Diceros bicornis minor: one gene and its partner. The protein of the gene in region 2 interacts with the protein of the main gene of each other region in a biochemical or structural test. Links are inferred from orthologs where the notes say so. Each region holds a gene or a part of one and is shown on either strand. Other genes may lie near its edges.

Region 1 (7,571 bases), on a different chromosome or scaffold from region 2:
GGGTTAACTAAGGGGCCCACAGTCACATTGCCAGTATGTGCTGGGGCTGGGATGTGAACCCAGGTGTTCCCAGCTCCAGGGACATCTTGCTGGTTCTGGCCCAGCAAACAGCACTGCCACCCACCAGCCCCCACAACCCTGACTATTAGCAGGAGCTCTGAGAGTGGGAACACCTTGTGATGGAGCACAAGGTTTTGCTGCCCAAAGACCTAAAGTCAACGATACCTGAAGCTTTCTTTCTGCAGCTGACTAGAGAGAGCATGTGTCCTTCCATGGTCCATAGTACAGAGGTCAGAAGCCAGGAGGTGGTTTCCGGATGGCAAACCTTACAATTCAGTGCTCCCTTCCTCCACCTCTAAGTAGCAAAAGTAAATTGGGGGGCGGCGGAAAACCTACTTAATGGACAGAGTAATCCATTCTTTACAGAGAATCCCAAGACCAGCCCCACCACTGAATGCTTGATTTTGCGCAGTCCCAGCCCTTCAGGGCCTCTACTCTGTCACCTAAAGAACGGGTCCTTACAGTAGAGGAAAAAGTCCAGTAAGCTGTGCAATTCTTTCACAGAATCTCAGAACTGGAAGGGAGGGAATAGAGTGGGGTCACACTGTCCAGACCCCTCCCAGAGAAGGAATTCTTTCTTTTTTTTTTTTATTATTTATTTATTTTCCCCCCAAAGCCCCAGTTGACAGTTGTATGTCATAGTTGCACATTCTTCTAGTTGCTGTATGTGGGACGCGGCCTCAGCATGGCCGGAGAAGCAGTGCGTCGGTGCGCGCCAGGGATCCGAACCTGAGCCACCAGCATCGGAGCGCACGCACTTAACTGCTAAGCCACGGGGCCGGCCCTAGAAGGAATTCTTTCTCAACTAGCCAGGACATAGTCTTTGAACACCCTGATGATAGCGAGTTTACTAATATTTATATTCGAGTGCCTACTATGTGCCAGGCATTGTTCTAAACACCTATATGCATTACCTTGTTTAATCGTCACAATAATTCCATGAGGTAGGTACTATTATTATCCCTTCCTGACAGATGAGGAAGCTGGGGTTCAGAGGTTAGGTCACTCGCTCAGGGTGACACAGCTAGTGAGTAGCAGGACCTAGACTGGACAGTCTCCAAAGTCAAAACACTTAACCACTGTGGTCCTTGTTAAAACGGGGTTGAAACCTGCCTGCCTATAGTCCTACCCTACTTGTCCTAGGTCTACACAAGAGCTACCATTTCTTGGGGACTAGCTATGTCAATGGCTGTGCTACGTATTCTACTGGCTTTTTTCCAGTCAACACCAGCACCAGTCTGTTGAGGTCACAGTTTTATCTCCATTTTACCGATGAGAAAACCAGGCACAAAGAGGTAAAGCAGCTTGCCCAAGGTCACCAGTTGGCAAGCAGGGGTACAGACTTTTCAAAGAGGTTCCTGAGATTTGAAGTGTTTGTCTGAGAAACCTCTGAGGTGACACTCTTCTGCTTCCAGTGTTGTCGGCAGCCCCTTGACTAATACCCTCCTTCCTTTAGCTGTTCATCTGGGGATGTGGTGCCAGTGCCCTCTTCGTTCTGATCATCCGTTCTGGAAGGTCTTTTGTTTGTCAAAATCCCCAGTAGTGAACAGAGAATAGAGTGATCCTCAAGCTGGCTTTTCCCTCACCGCCACCACCCAGAAAAACCTAGTGGCCTCCACTATCCCAGTCCCAGGGCGATTAATGCTGTCCTTGGCAGGTTTGCTGTACAGCAGATTTGCTCAATGGGGAGGGCTGATTCTATCAGGTTCTTTGCCTATGCATTGTGTTGTCTGAGGATTTGTCCCAAGGCAGCTGCCAAGACTCAAGGGAAATGACACATGATATGTTTGTGGCTCAGCCCAGGGGGCCTCTGGCTCACCTGTCAGCTCCCCAGAGCTAGGATGCTAAGACACAGGGCATCTGCAGGACACCTCTGGGTACCCACTTGGAGCAGAACTGTGAACTAGACACCCTGGGGGCAAATGCTAAACCCACGTGACACCAATCAGGAGCTACAGGATGCAACTGGGATCAGAGCTTCCTCCCAAGCCGGTGTGACTACTCTTGTGGTCAGGCCAGGAGAGATTGGGAGCCTGAAGGGGCTTAATCCTGGCTCCACCCAACTCCCAACATGACCTTGAATAAGTTACTGCACTTTTTATATCTTTATCTCAAAAGGCCTTAATTCGTTATCAACAAAATGCCCCACAAGCAACCACATCTGTGCAATAAGACTGAGTGAGCTGCAAAGGTGGGCTGACACCTGCTCATTCCTCCCCAAACTCTGTCGCTGAGCAACTGGCGAATTTGGGCAAGTCCCCAAACCTCTCTGGGGATCACGGGTTCAGGTTCAGAAAGTGACAGGTAGGAAAGGTTAAAAGCACTGTCTCCTTTCAGTGTCGCCCAGCGCTAACCTGAAGTTGGGCAGAGTGGGCGGGAGAAGGGAGGAAAAACAGACGTCTGAAAACCTGCCCTCTGCATGAGGCAATAGCCATCCCATCCCCCTCTTTGAGGCCAGCTCCGCGGACAGGGGCATCCAGATGGAAGTCGCAGGGACTAGGCGTCCCAGTTCCTGCTCGCCACCCACTCCCTGTGTGATCGCGGGCGACTCTGCCCTTCTCCGAGTCTCAGTTTCCCCGTCTACGCAGGGAAGTCGGGCTTGGGACCGCTGTAGGCCTAGAGCTCCGATGCTCTGAAGCTTGGCTCCTAGATTAAACTCCTTTCGGATCCGAACTTCTGGAGGGTCGCAGAAGCTCAGGGCTGGGTGGGGAGAGGCGAGAAGAGAGGCAATAGCTCCAGCCGCGGCCTGAGCCCTTGAAGAGCGACATCTCGCCGAGCGGCGGTGCGCCCGGGGCGCAAGCCGAGGGCCGCGGGTCTGCGCGGGGCGGGGGCGGCGCGGCGGCGGCGCGGCCACTTACCGGCATGACTGAAGAGGCGCTGGTGGCAGCGGAGACGCCTTTCCCGGTTCTGAGCGTTGGCGCGGCTGCGCTTCGCGGTGCGCACGCCGAGAGGCCCCGCCCCCTCCGGCCCGCCCCCAGGCCCCGCCCCCGAGGCCCCGCCCCCGAGGCCCCGCCCCCCCGACCCCGCGGGCAGGGAGCCGGCTGCCAGAACGCTGGCCGCTCCGCCTCCTTCCGGCGGGCGGGGCCCTGGACACCCGCCAAGTCTGAGCGAGGCGGGGCGAGGGACGCTGGGCCGGCCTTCTGCGCCTGTTGGCCGCTTTTAGATCGCCTGCTCCGTGTCAGGCTGGTGTTGGGCCTGGGAATCCGTACCAAGGCCCCGTCCCTCCCTAAAGGGACAATCTGATTTATTCACAAGGTCAGTATTTATTGAGTGCCAACCATGGGCCACACTGTGCTAGGCATCTAAGATGCTGGAGTGGAAAGAGCAGCCCAGCAGGGAGCGAAGGAAGCAGGCGACGATAGTGTCGTGTTAGAGGAGTTGTGTCGTGGGAGCAGAGAAAGGATCTCTGACTCAGGCTGGAGTGTGTGTGTGTGTGTTGGGGGGCTGTTGTTGAAGAGAGGAGGCTTTGGGAGGAGGTAATAATCTGAGTTAAGGGGGAAGAGTACACGTTCTGATGAAGGAAGATGGGCTATTTGGGAAGGAGAGAGTGCAATTCATGAGGAGCAGCGTTATGGACACTCATTCGAGATGACAAATGAAACTCTATCAAAGAGGAGAGGTAAATGTACAGGGTTATAGTTCCTGCATATAAATAAATACATAAATTCCATCTTTTACATAAAAAAGAAGCCCGAAAGGAACTACAGCAAATGTTATTAGAAGTTATCTTGGATGGGTGCAGGATTACAGGCAAAACCCTGATGTACATATTATTTTTAAAATTTCAAATAGCATAAAAGAATGTAACAGTGAAAAGTCTCCCACCTCCCATGATCTCCCTTTTTAAACTAAAGGCATACTGTACACAGATTTGCACCCTGCTCTTCTCATTTTACAAAATATCTTAGAGATTTTTCTTTAATAGTCCACATCAATCCCTTTCATTCTTTTTAGCATGACATAGCGTTCTATTATTCAGTTGTACCATAATTTATTTAACCAGTCCCTACAGCAGAAACTATTGGTTGGCTAACCCAACACTCATTCTCAATCTTTTTACTCTAGCTCCTATAGAGGCTGGAATCCCTAAATACTTGCTTTTGTTCTCCCTTGCAGCCAGGTGTGCCCATATGATATGGCTCTGGCCAATGACTGAAAAGCAGAAGTCAGCTAGGGAGCTTCTGGGAAGGCTCTTGCTTTCCTCACACAGGGAACAGATACCACTCCTTTCCTCTTCCTGCTTAGAATGCTGATGTGATATTTAGATGCAAGTGCACCATCTTGCACCCATGAGGGAAATGCCAAGAGAATCCCAGAGACACTGGTTCTGACTGTGTGCTCGCTGAACCCATGCCAACTTGTCCCCTGCTTATAATGTGAGAAATGTCAGCCCATCTCTAGTTCAGCTACTGCTACTCAGACTTTGTGTTCCTTGCCCCTGACACAGTCCTGATACAGCTCCCCACTGATGGGCATATGGGTTGCTTCTAATCTTTTAATGCTAATAACTATGATGTAATGACAATCCATATACATACATCTTTGCTTAATATTTATGTAGAATAAATTCCTAGATGTGGAATTGCTATTCATTTTTAATTTTGATAAAGCCAGATTGCCTCTCCAAGTTTTATCAACTACATTTTCATATCTCCAGATCAATATGTAGTACCCTCACCCATTCTGTTATAGGTGATTTTTATTTCCTTTTTTCTTTTCTTTGCCATATTTCCTGTAATGAATATGTATCAAGAAAAGAATCACAGGAAAGAATATTTTTAAAAAGCAGAGTTCAGGAATTCTGAGTTCCAGACTGCCCAGCAGTCTCATTACTAGTCTCATAAACTTGGGTAAGTCATTTCATCATTAAGCATTTGGGCCTGGGAAATGGACCCTTTCTGGCTGAGAGTGCTGCTGTAAGGATGGTCATGTGAAGTGGTGGGTTCACAGACAGAGGTTGGTGCCTTCTTCCCGGTAATTCCCTACCACCTACTAGAGTGACACTTTGGTGGATGCTGGGGTTAAGCTTTGCAAAGCAAGGCCTTCATAGCTGCTGCCTACTCCTTCCAGGAGACCAAGTGTCTGTTTTCTGTCCTATAACACAGGTACGCACTAGCTGCCTCACTGCTTTATCAACCAAGGAACTCTTAGCCTTGGATCAAAGGTTCTGAGCTGAAAGGGCCCTTGGAGAAGCCAAGGCAGGAGAAGAGAGGAGACAGAGCCAAGGGAACTTGGGCTGCAGGCTTGGGAGAGGCAGCATGGCAGAGTTGCAAACTGGCTGAATCTGGCCTACAGAAATATTTTATTCCGTTCCTAAAGTGTTCAAAGTATTTTTGGATTAGTTGACCACATTTAAGAACACTGAGTGTGGTTGCACAATGTTGTGAATGTACTTCATGCCACTGAATTGTACACTTAAAAATGGTTAGAATAGGGGCCAGCCCAGTGGTGTAGCAGTTAAGTGCGCACGCTCCACTGCTGGCAGCCCGGGTTCGGGTCCCGTCTGCGCACCGAGGCACCGCTTGTCAGGCCATGCTGTGGCGGTGTCCCATATAAAGTGGAGGAAGATAGGCGCAGATGTTAGACCAGGGCCAGTCTTCCTCAGCAAAAAAGAGGAGGATTGGCATGGATGTTAGCTCAGGGCTTATCTTCCTCACCAAAAAAAAATAAATAAGGTTAGAATGGTAAATTTATGTTCTGTATATTTTATCACAATTAAAAAACAAATTTATTTGTAGACTGACATGTAAAATTAGTTGCTTCTTTATTACAAGAACTAAGAAAAGCATTTTTTAAAAAATAAAAATTCCAGAGCCAGCTCTGAGGGCCTGGTGGTTGAAGTTGAGCGCTTTCACTGCTTCGGCGGCCCGGGTTCGCTTCCTGGTCGTGGAACCACACCACTCGTCTGTCAGTTGCCATGCTGTGGCTGCAGCTCACATAGAAGAACTAGCAGTACTCACAACTAGGATGTACAACCATGAACTGGGGCTTTGAGGAGGAAAAAAAAAGAGGGAGATTGGCAACAGGTGTTAGCTCACCTAAAAAAATACAAATAAAGTTTAAAAAAGAATGAATTCAATTATTCCTCTTAGAAAGAAAATTTCATTGCATTTTTTTAAGTGAGAGCAAAACATTTTTATACCATTAATAAAATGGTAAAAAAAACACTGAGTGATGTCACATGATGACCCAGCTTTTGAGTATCTCCTGAAAAACTGGAAGATCTGAAAACATCTGCAACTAGCAGGATAGGCCAGGTAATGCTGTAGTAACAAACAATCCCAAAACCTCAACGGCTTAAAACAACAGCTTTCTGGTTTTTTTTTGTTTTGTTTTTTTTTGTGAAGAGGACTAGCCCTGAGCTAACATCCAATGCCAATCCTCCCCTTTTTTGCTGAAGAAGATTGGCCCTGGGCTAACATCCGTGCCCATCTTCCTCTACTTTATATGGGATGCCTCCACAGCATGGCTTGCCAAGCGGTGCGTCGGTGTGCGCCCGGCAGCTGAACCTGGGAACCCCAGGCCACCGAAGCAGAGCGCGCGCACATAACTGCTTGTGCCACTGGGCCGGCCCCCAGATTTATTTCTTACTCATGTTATATGCCCATCACAGGTTGGAAAGGTTGGAGGAGTGGCTCTGTGCAAATTGTTTTTGAGGGAGATTCCCCCTATGAGACGACATTGAATATGGAGGTGAGGGTGGGGAGGGAAGACCTCAGCAAGTAATCGCAACCTCCAAAGACTTCTCTGCCTGGAAGAGATATGTGTCACTTCTGCTCACGTTGTTTTGGCCGAAGCAGGATACTTGGCTAGGCCTGTCTTTAAAGAGGCAGGAAAGTATAATCCTGCCAGGTACCCGGAAGGAGGAGAAATAGCAATGTCAGAAAACAAAACTAAGGCCTGCCAAGGACTCTTTAGACAAGGCCCAGACTCTTTGGGCTACCACAGTCTCCAGGACTCCTTTGTGGTCTCCCAGCACGGTAACCAAAAGTCAGGGGACATTTGTCACACTGTCCTCTTGTTCCTTTATTCTCTGCCAGACTACTTTAGGCTTTGGGGATTTAAAGCTGTGTTTAATGAGACAAACCAGACAATGCTTATGTTCAGTTCCTGGCCGTTTTTGGCAATTAACCTCTCTGAACCTCAGTTTCTTTTGCTATAAGATAAATATAATAATTAGACCTATCCTCATAGTGCTGTTGTGAGAAATAAGACAATGCCCATAAACTATTCTGTTCAGTGCCTGGTACATAATAAGCACTCAGAAGCTAGTCTTAGGGTTATGACAAGTACTTTTTAAATTACGTAATATATGAAAAGTTTCTTAATGTAAAAAATTTTTAAACAATGCAGATAAAGTTTCCTTCATACCTTTATATCACTGCCTTCCACAGTAGAGGTAGTGACTACTATCAGATTGCTGTACATTTTAATATTAAAAAGTAGAATTTCTGGATTATAGGGTATATGGATTTTAAATTTTAATCAATGCTTTCAAATTTCCCTTAGAA
Region 2 (7,098 bases):
GTCATGGACCCCAGGTCAGGGCCACTGCTGCCCCACAGAGAGGCCTCTGAAGAGAAAACAATATGGAGGGATCGTGCTATAATTCACACTTTCAAGAACAACGGCGGTGCACCGATTATGCACTGCGGAGAACTTTTTTTTTAAAAAATCTGGTCCCCACTTTTGAGAAGCACAGAGTTGCAAAGAAAAGGTACATTCAGAAAAGTTTAAATAATCATACCAAGCTGTGTGACCAACTGTCAAATTAAGTTTGGAAGAAAATCTATATCTGAGAAAGCCAGACAGGCCTGGCTAGGACTCAATCCCAGATCTGCCTCTTACTAGCTGTAGAACCTTAGGCAAGTTACTTAAGTTCTCTCTGCCTCTGTTTCCCCATATGTTAAGATGATGAACTCTGACCTCATGTTCTGCCACTTCCCCTCCTTCCCTCTGCTCCAGCCATTCTGGCTTTCTTACTATTTCTCAAACCTTCAGGCCACTTCTGACTTAGGACCTTGATACCTCTGGTTCTTCAACCTAGAACACTTACCCCAAATCTGAATCATTCAGGCTTCTACTCAAATGCTACCTCCCCAGAGAAGAAATCCCTGACTACCTGCTTAAAATAGTATCTCCCCCTCCCATATGATTCCTAATGCCCCTATGTTGATTTATTTTCTTCATAGAACTTATCGGTACCAGAAATAACACTCTTTGTTTACTCTTTTTTTCCCCTGTACCTACTAGGATATAAATTACTCGAGGGCAGGGGTCTTGGTCTTAGCTAGATCCCCAGGGCCTAGAATGCCTGGCACAAAGTAGATAACTAAAAAAATATTTGTTGAATAAATGGTGATAAGAAGAAAATAATACCTGCATCAAAAGGCTTTGTGAGGATTAAATGAGGACTGAACACAGAGAAATATACAGTGCTTAATACAGTGCCTAGCACATAGTAAGCTCAATAATGTTGGCTAATACTATAATCAAAGGAATCCAAGAGAGGATGAGATCACCAAGGACACAGGCAGTTCCAGAAAGTCTCAAGGAGAAGGCAGGTCTTGAGCTTGATCTGGAAGGATAAGGATTTTTCAGATGGGTAGAGAGGTGGGGCCACCGCAGGGGTGTGGAAGTTCTCCTCCTACAAGCTACCCCTCCCCCACGTGCTCTCTTCATACCTCCATTAAATGCAGAGTCTTCACACTAAGAATCATCTATTGACCAGCCTCCTTCTGCCACCCATTAATCCACTTATCTTGCATTTCTATACCACCAGAGTACAGAAGTAGATAAATAGTGAATATTAGATGAATAGCAAAATTGGATGAATTTCACTACAAAAGGGCACGCAATAATGTTGTTGAATCAATTTAAGAAATCTGTATAAAAGGCACAGCCTACTCTTCGGAACAGCAATCCAGGCCTAGATGTCTATCCTTAAGAAATACTCAAGTGTCAGCATTAAAAATCATGTACCAGGATGTCCACTACAGTGTGGCTCCTGAAGGCAAAAAAAACACAACAGAAGCAACCAGAACGTCCACCCAAAGAGAAACAGTAAACACGCTATAGTGAGTCCATATCGTGCAGAGGTTAAACTGAATAAGACAGATGCTTATGTACTAACATGCAACAACCTCCAGAATATATTGTTAAACCAAAAAAAAAAAAAGGTTGGAGAATACACACTATGTGATCTCATTCAACAAAATCTAAAGATTTCTCTGGAGTTATAGATATGTATCTTGTTAAGCATTGTATTTTCAGCTCTTCAACACTGTGCCTGAAACATGTTAAATTTTCAATAAATATATGCTGAATGAATTAAGACACATAAGTTAGGACACCGAGTAGAAACGGATTGGAAAATACATCTGCTTTTCACGCTAAATATTCCTGTACTGTTTGCATTCTTAAGAGACCACATTAATGTATTACCTGTATAATTAAAATGAATTCAAAATAGTTCTTAAAAAAAAAAAAGTTGCAGGACCTGGATAGACCATAAAGGGGTCCAGGCACCAACTCTGAATAACTTCTCCAGGTAACTAATTGTCTTGAGCAATTAGGGCTCTTACACAGCAACTCAACGCTCACTTTACCTCTCCAGCATCAGACCCTTTAACGGCATAAAGAGGAACAGAAAAGTGCTGGGTTTGGAACTGTTCCTGAAAAGCAGATAATGGCATGCCCTTTCTAAAGAGTGCTCTTCTTACAAACCACGACTCCCCTGGGGCCGGGCTCCCGCGCTCGCACTTCCCGGCGCGCGCCCAGGAGCAGAGTAAGGACGGCAGGAGGGCGTGGAAAGTGCTCCAGGTAGGTGTGTGCACACAGTGCCCGGGGAAGGAAACTTACCTTCGGACTGGCCCCTTCTCTGGCAGTAATCTGTCTCTCCTGCTCAGGCATCATCTCCCGGAGAAACCAATTTCTTCTGTGATCTGGCCGAGAGCCCAAAGGTCACCTGGTTAGTGGAGGAGAAGCGCGGTGTTAAAATCCAGGGAAAAGAGGAGCGGGGTGTGGATGGCATCTTTGCTTTTCAGCTTGAACCCAAAGAGGGGTCTGAGAACCGGCTCCTGCATTTCGGACCAGGAATTGGCAGCCCTCACCCCACGGGCTAATTCAAAGTTGCGCTCCACCGCGCCCCTGGCCCTTGGGGGCGCGGAGATGAGGGGGGAGGGTGGGCCTCGCACCCTCACTCACACCCGGAGGCCGGCCCGCCGCTGCCTCAGTGTCCTTGGCTCAGCCGGGACCCTTGGCGGGGACTCGTCCTCCCTCCTGGGTCTCCGATACCTTGGACCGGTGCGCTCTGGACTCGGTCTTCAGCCTCCGGCGTGTGCCGGGCAGGAAAAGAAGGGCGGGCGAGCCGCGTAGACCCCGGCAGGAGATGCAGATCCCAGAGCTCGCCCACAGCCGGCGGGGAAGGTGCGGCGTGGCGGGAGCCGGCGTCGGGTCCGCTCTGCGCAGCTCCCTCTCCGGCTCGGCTCCTGGCTCCGGGGCGCCGCGGGTCCGAAACGCCGCACCTGGAAAATCGATCCGAGACGCGCAAGAGCTTCCCATTGGTCTCCAACGGGCAGCGGGCTCTGGACTGAGGGCTTCCAGTAGTCTAGGGGGCAGGGGCCGGAGCGCTGGCTGTCCATCACAGGCCACGCCCTCCCCGTCCCAACTCCCACTACTGTCCCGCCCACGGGGGCGGGACCCGTGAAGCCACGCCGAAAACTTGTCTGCTCCTTGGAAGATTCTATTGGCTGGAAGGCCGTGGGAAGCCACTACCAGCAACCAATTGGAACGCACAATTAGCACCACTCGCTTTCTCAGGAGCCAATAGAGAAGAGGAACAGGGAAGCGTTTCCTGAGTTCGGGGGTCGGCGGAAGATGGCGGCGGCCGAAGGGGGTTGGTGTTTGTGCGAGTTACTGAGGTGAGGAGCCGGTGGTGTGGGCTCGCAGGCGTGTTGTGAATCACGGTGGTACTTGTCCGCCCAGTGCAACTCAAGTTTTCGAGGAAGGGCGTTCCTTGCCACGAACCTAGGCTGTTTTCTCAAGGCCAGTGAGCGCTTTTCCTCTCACTTTGGGGTCTTCTAGCTAGACCAGAGCAGACTGGGTTCAGGACTCAGTTTACCCCGTTTTCTTCGTCTGCGCCACTGCTGGCGGAGGAATCGAGCTCCCCTCCCTGCTTCAGCTTGTCTTTCTCTTGTTTGGACTCCACTTAGTCTGTTATAAATTACTTATATTCATTTCTCATTTTTCTTTGTGATTGAGCCACAAATCATTTTCCAACCTATTGTGTCTTTCTTTCTGGTAAAGAAGAAACCAGATCTTCCTTCCCACGTCTTAGTTTCTCCTCTTTCACCAAAACTGTCTTGTTAACATGTCACTTAAAGGTAAAGTTTATGTTGACTCCTCTGCTTCTTGATTACTCATTGATTTTTCTTTTTTTTTTTAAAGATTTTATTTATTTATTCCCCCCCCCCAAAGCCCCAGTAGATAGTTGTATGTCATAGTTGCACATCCTTCTAGTTGCTGTATGTGGGACGAGGCCTCAGCATGGCTGGAGAAGCAGCACGTAGGCGCGTGGCCCGGGATCCGAACCCAGGCTGCCAGCAGCGGAGCGCGGGCACATAACCGCTAAGCCACGGGCCGGCTCTGATTTTTATTTCTGATTGATGTAAAAATAGTTATGTAAAATATTATTACTTCTATCTTTATTACATAAGTAATACATTGTTTCTTGTAGAAAAGTTAGAAAATAGATGAGCAAAAAAGAAAATTCGCCGGGAATGCTGCCATCTGAAGATTACGACCGTTAACATTTTGGTGAAAAACTCCCAGACTTTTTTCCTACATTTGTTGCTGTAATACTACAGTATTTTACGTGCCTTGCCCTACACGAATAAAACAGAAGACCTACACAGCTTTTTAAACACCTACATATTTTTGTTCAGGTTGAAAATTTATAATTAACACGATAGCATCCTGAATAGCAGTATATACGTATTCTCTCCAAAATTCAGATGTTGTTTCTTCATTTTTGTCCCTCCTACTTCAAATTCTATAATGATTATTTAAAACATTTTGAAAGGGAAAGTCTTTTTTCAGAGCCTTCATATTCTTCCCTGCCATTTGAAATATCCCTAACTCAGTGCTTTGCACATAATAATAGCTAAATAAATGTTTGCTGAATGAATGACTCACTGTTGATTACAGTTGTCTTTTTAAAGCCTTATATTTAAATATGGGTGAACATTATTTAATGGCACATATTTAAGTTATATATATATTTTTAATTATCTTTTGTTTTTAACTTTTTTAATTTTTTTTTTTTTAATTTTTTCCCCCAAAGCCCCAGTAGATAGTTGTATGTCATAGCTGCACATCCTTCTAGTTGCTGTATGTGGGACGCGTCCTCAGCGTGGCAGGAGAAGTGGTGCGTGGGTGCGCGCCCCGGCCGGCTGCCAGCAGCAGAGCGCAACACACTTAATCGCTAAGCCACGGGGCCGGCCCAATTTAGTTATATTTAAACAAATTCTAAAATGGGTAATTTTGATGTGCAAGTACTGTAGGATGTTTAAAAAATTTATTTATAGAACCTGTAAGTATATCTTTGAAACTAACAGACTCAAAGGACTGGTTCAACTTTAGTCATTAATATGATTTTTTTTCTGATCGTAAGTTAAATTGTTCAATTTGAAAATCCTATCACATGAATTTTCCCACTTAAATCATTTGAAGGAAGTGTCATAAAAATCTTCGGATTCTATGAGTCAGCTACGTTATAAATTAAATGGGCTTTTGACTTGTCGTGGGAAAGCTAAATGAATTCATAAATATTTTTTTTAATTCCTCAGATTTTGTTTCTAATATGCTAAATATTGGTAGGTGTAATCATTGTAAACTAGTGGTTCTCAGCAAGGGGTGATTTTGCCCCCACAGGACATTTAGCAGTGTCTGGAGATAATGTTGATTGTCATGATTGGCAGGGTGCTACCAGCATCCAGTGGTTGAGACCAAGGATGCAGCTAAACATCCTTTAATGCACAGGACACCCCCAGAACAAAGAATTATCTGGTCCAGAAGGTCAGTAGTGCTGAGGTTGGGAAACCCTGATGTAAACAAAAGCTGTATGGGGTCCTCAGTAATTTTTAAGAATATAAGGGTGTCCTGAGACCAAACCATTTTAACAAGTCAAATACCTCTTCAAGTAATGAATGGACTGGTTCACAATAGGAAATTGCACACGAGAAATTTATTTCAGAACTAAATATCAATAAGATGTTTATTTCTCTGAAAAATTTCTACTTATGGACAATGAAAACGATGTAACTACACAAATTATCCTCATATTTGCTTTGGTCGTTAAGCAGCCCAGAGTCCAATCTGCTGTTCACCTCTACGTACAAACTTAGAGCCTATGTCCCCTCATCTGCCTTCCCACCCCCCCAACACACTTTAACTCTATATTTTTCCTGGTCCTGACTTTTGATTGTTTCAGTTTTAGTATTTTATTGTTTTTATGTCTTATAAGCCCTTCAAATCCTTTATAAAGGGTAGGCAGGGTATAAAAAATATTGTTAGGTACCAACTGTATTGACCAACCCTAAGAGAAAAACATACCTTGAGAAAATATTTCAACATAATTTAAGAGACATCTGAGGAGGTAATAACATTTTGCATTCAGTCATCAAATACTTATCGGCTGCCTTCTCTGTGTCAGGTATTGTGCTGGGCATTGGGATACAGCGGTGAACCAGCCTGGGTCCTTGCCCTCGAAGAGCTTCAGTCGACTGGGCAGTAATAGAGAACCTTTTAGCAGTCAGTGTTGGGGGAAGTTTACCAATGTGCGTGAAGTAGAGCATTAGTGGATTTTTGGCAGCTCATGGTGAGGCAGATAAGGGAAGGCAGTGATTTTAGGGTCAGGTAAACACATCAAATACAGAACTCAGAATAGAACTGGAGAAATTTAAATTCCGTTCCTCTTACCACAGAAATTGTTCTACTTGAAGTGAAGTGAGAGAATACAAATGATTTACTATCTCACCAAACTTAACTAATGGAATATTGATCCTTCCACAGGACATATTTCTTTGGGTTACGTATTGTCGTTTTGAGGGCCAGACGCCATTCCTAATCATGTCTTATTTAGGTTAATAGTTAAATTTTTTTAAATCCCTTAACACATACACTGAGTTAAGAGAAAGGTGGCTCAACATTGATTTCTACTGCTGATTAAAAAGAAAAAGTAGGGCCAGCCCCGTGGCTTAGCGGTTAAGTGCGCGCGCTCCGCTACTGGCACCCGGGTTCAGATCCCAGGCACGCACCAACGCACTGCTTCTCCGGCCATGCTGAGGCCGCATCCCACATACAGCACCTAGAAGGATGTGCAACTATGACATACAACTATTTACTGGGGCTTTGGGGGAAAAAATGAGGAGTATTGGCAATAGATGTTAGCTCAGAGCCAGTCTTCCTCAGCAAAAAGAGGAGGATTAGCATGGATGTTAGCTCAGGGCTGATCTTCCTCACAAAAAAAAAAGAAAAAGTATATTAGATTGCTAGCATGCTGTGGGGATGGGAATTATAGGGGACTTGCACTTTCGTCATTGGAGATTTTGTAGCATTAGAATT

What was found.
Region 1: the proteins of ATP7B (region 2) and ATOX1 form a complex in vitro, tested with the Homo sapiens proteins (3 studies listed by BioGRID and IntAct). The link is inferred for Diceros bicornis minor from reciprocal best matches to the Homo sapiens genes ATP7B and ATOX1.

What each region holds. Positions count from the first base shown.
Region 1 is NC_080740.1:68,618,683-68,626,253, forward strand, and holds the start of ATOX1 (copper transport protein ATOX1), read right to left. Parts: upstream 3,006-7,571; 5' UTR 2,925-3,005; coding exon 2,919-2,924; intron 1-2,918. UniProt on the Homo sapiens protein: Binds and deliver cytosolic copper to the copper ATPase proteins. May be important in cellular antioxidant defense.
Region 2 is NC_080748.1:25,292,632-25,299,729, reverse strand, and holds the start of ATP7B (copper-transporting ATPase 2), read right to left. Parts: upstream 3,021-7,098; 5' UTR 2,770-3,020; intron 2,760-2,769; exon of another isoform or gene 2,680-2,759; intron 2,441-2,679; 5' UTR 2,389-2,440; coding exon 2,335-2,388; intron 1-2,334. Other genes in the region: ALG11 (GDP-Man:Man(3)GlcNAc(2)-PP-Dol alpha-1,2-mannosyltransferase), read left to right, coding at 3,352-3,395. UniProt on the Homo sapiens protein: Copper ion transmembrane transporter involved in the export of copper out of the cells. It is involved in copper homeostasis in the liver, where it ensures the efflux of copper from hepatocytes into the bile in response to copper overload.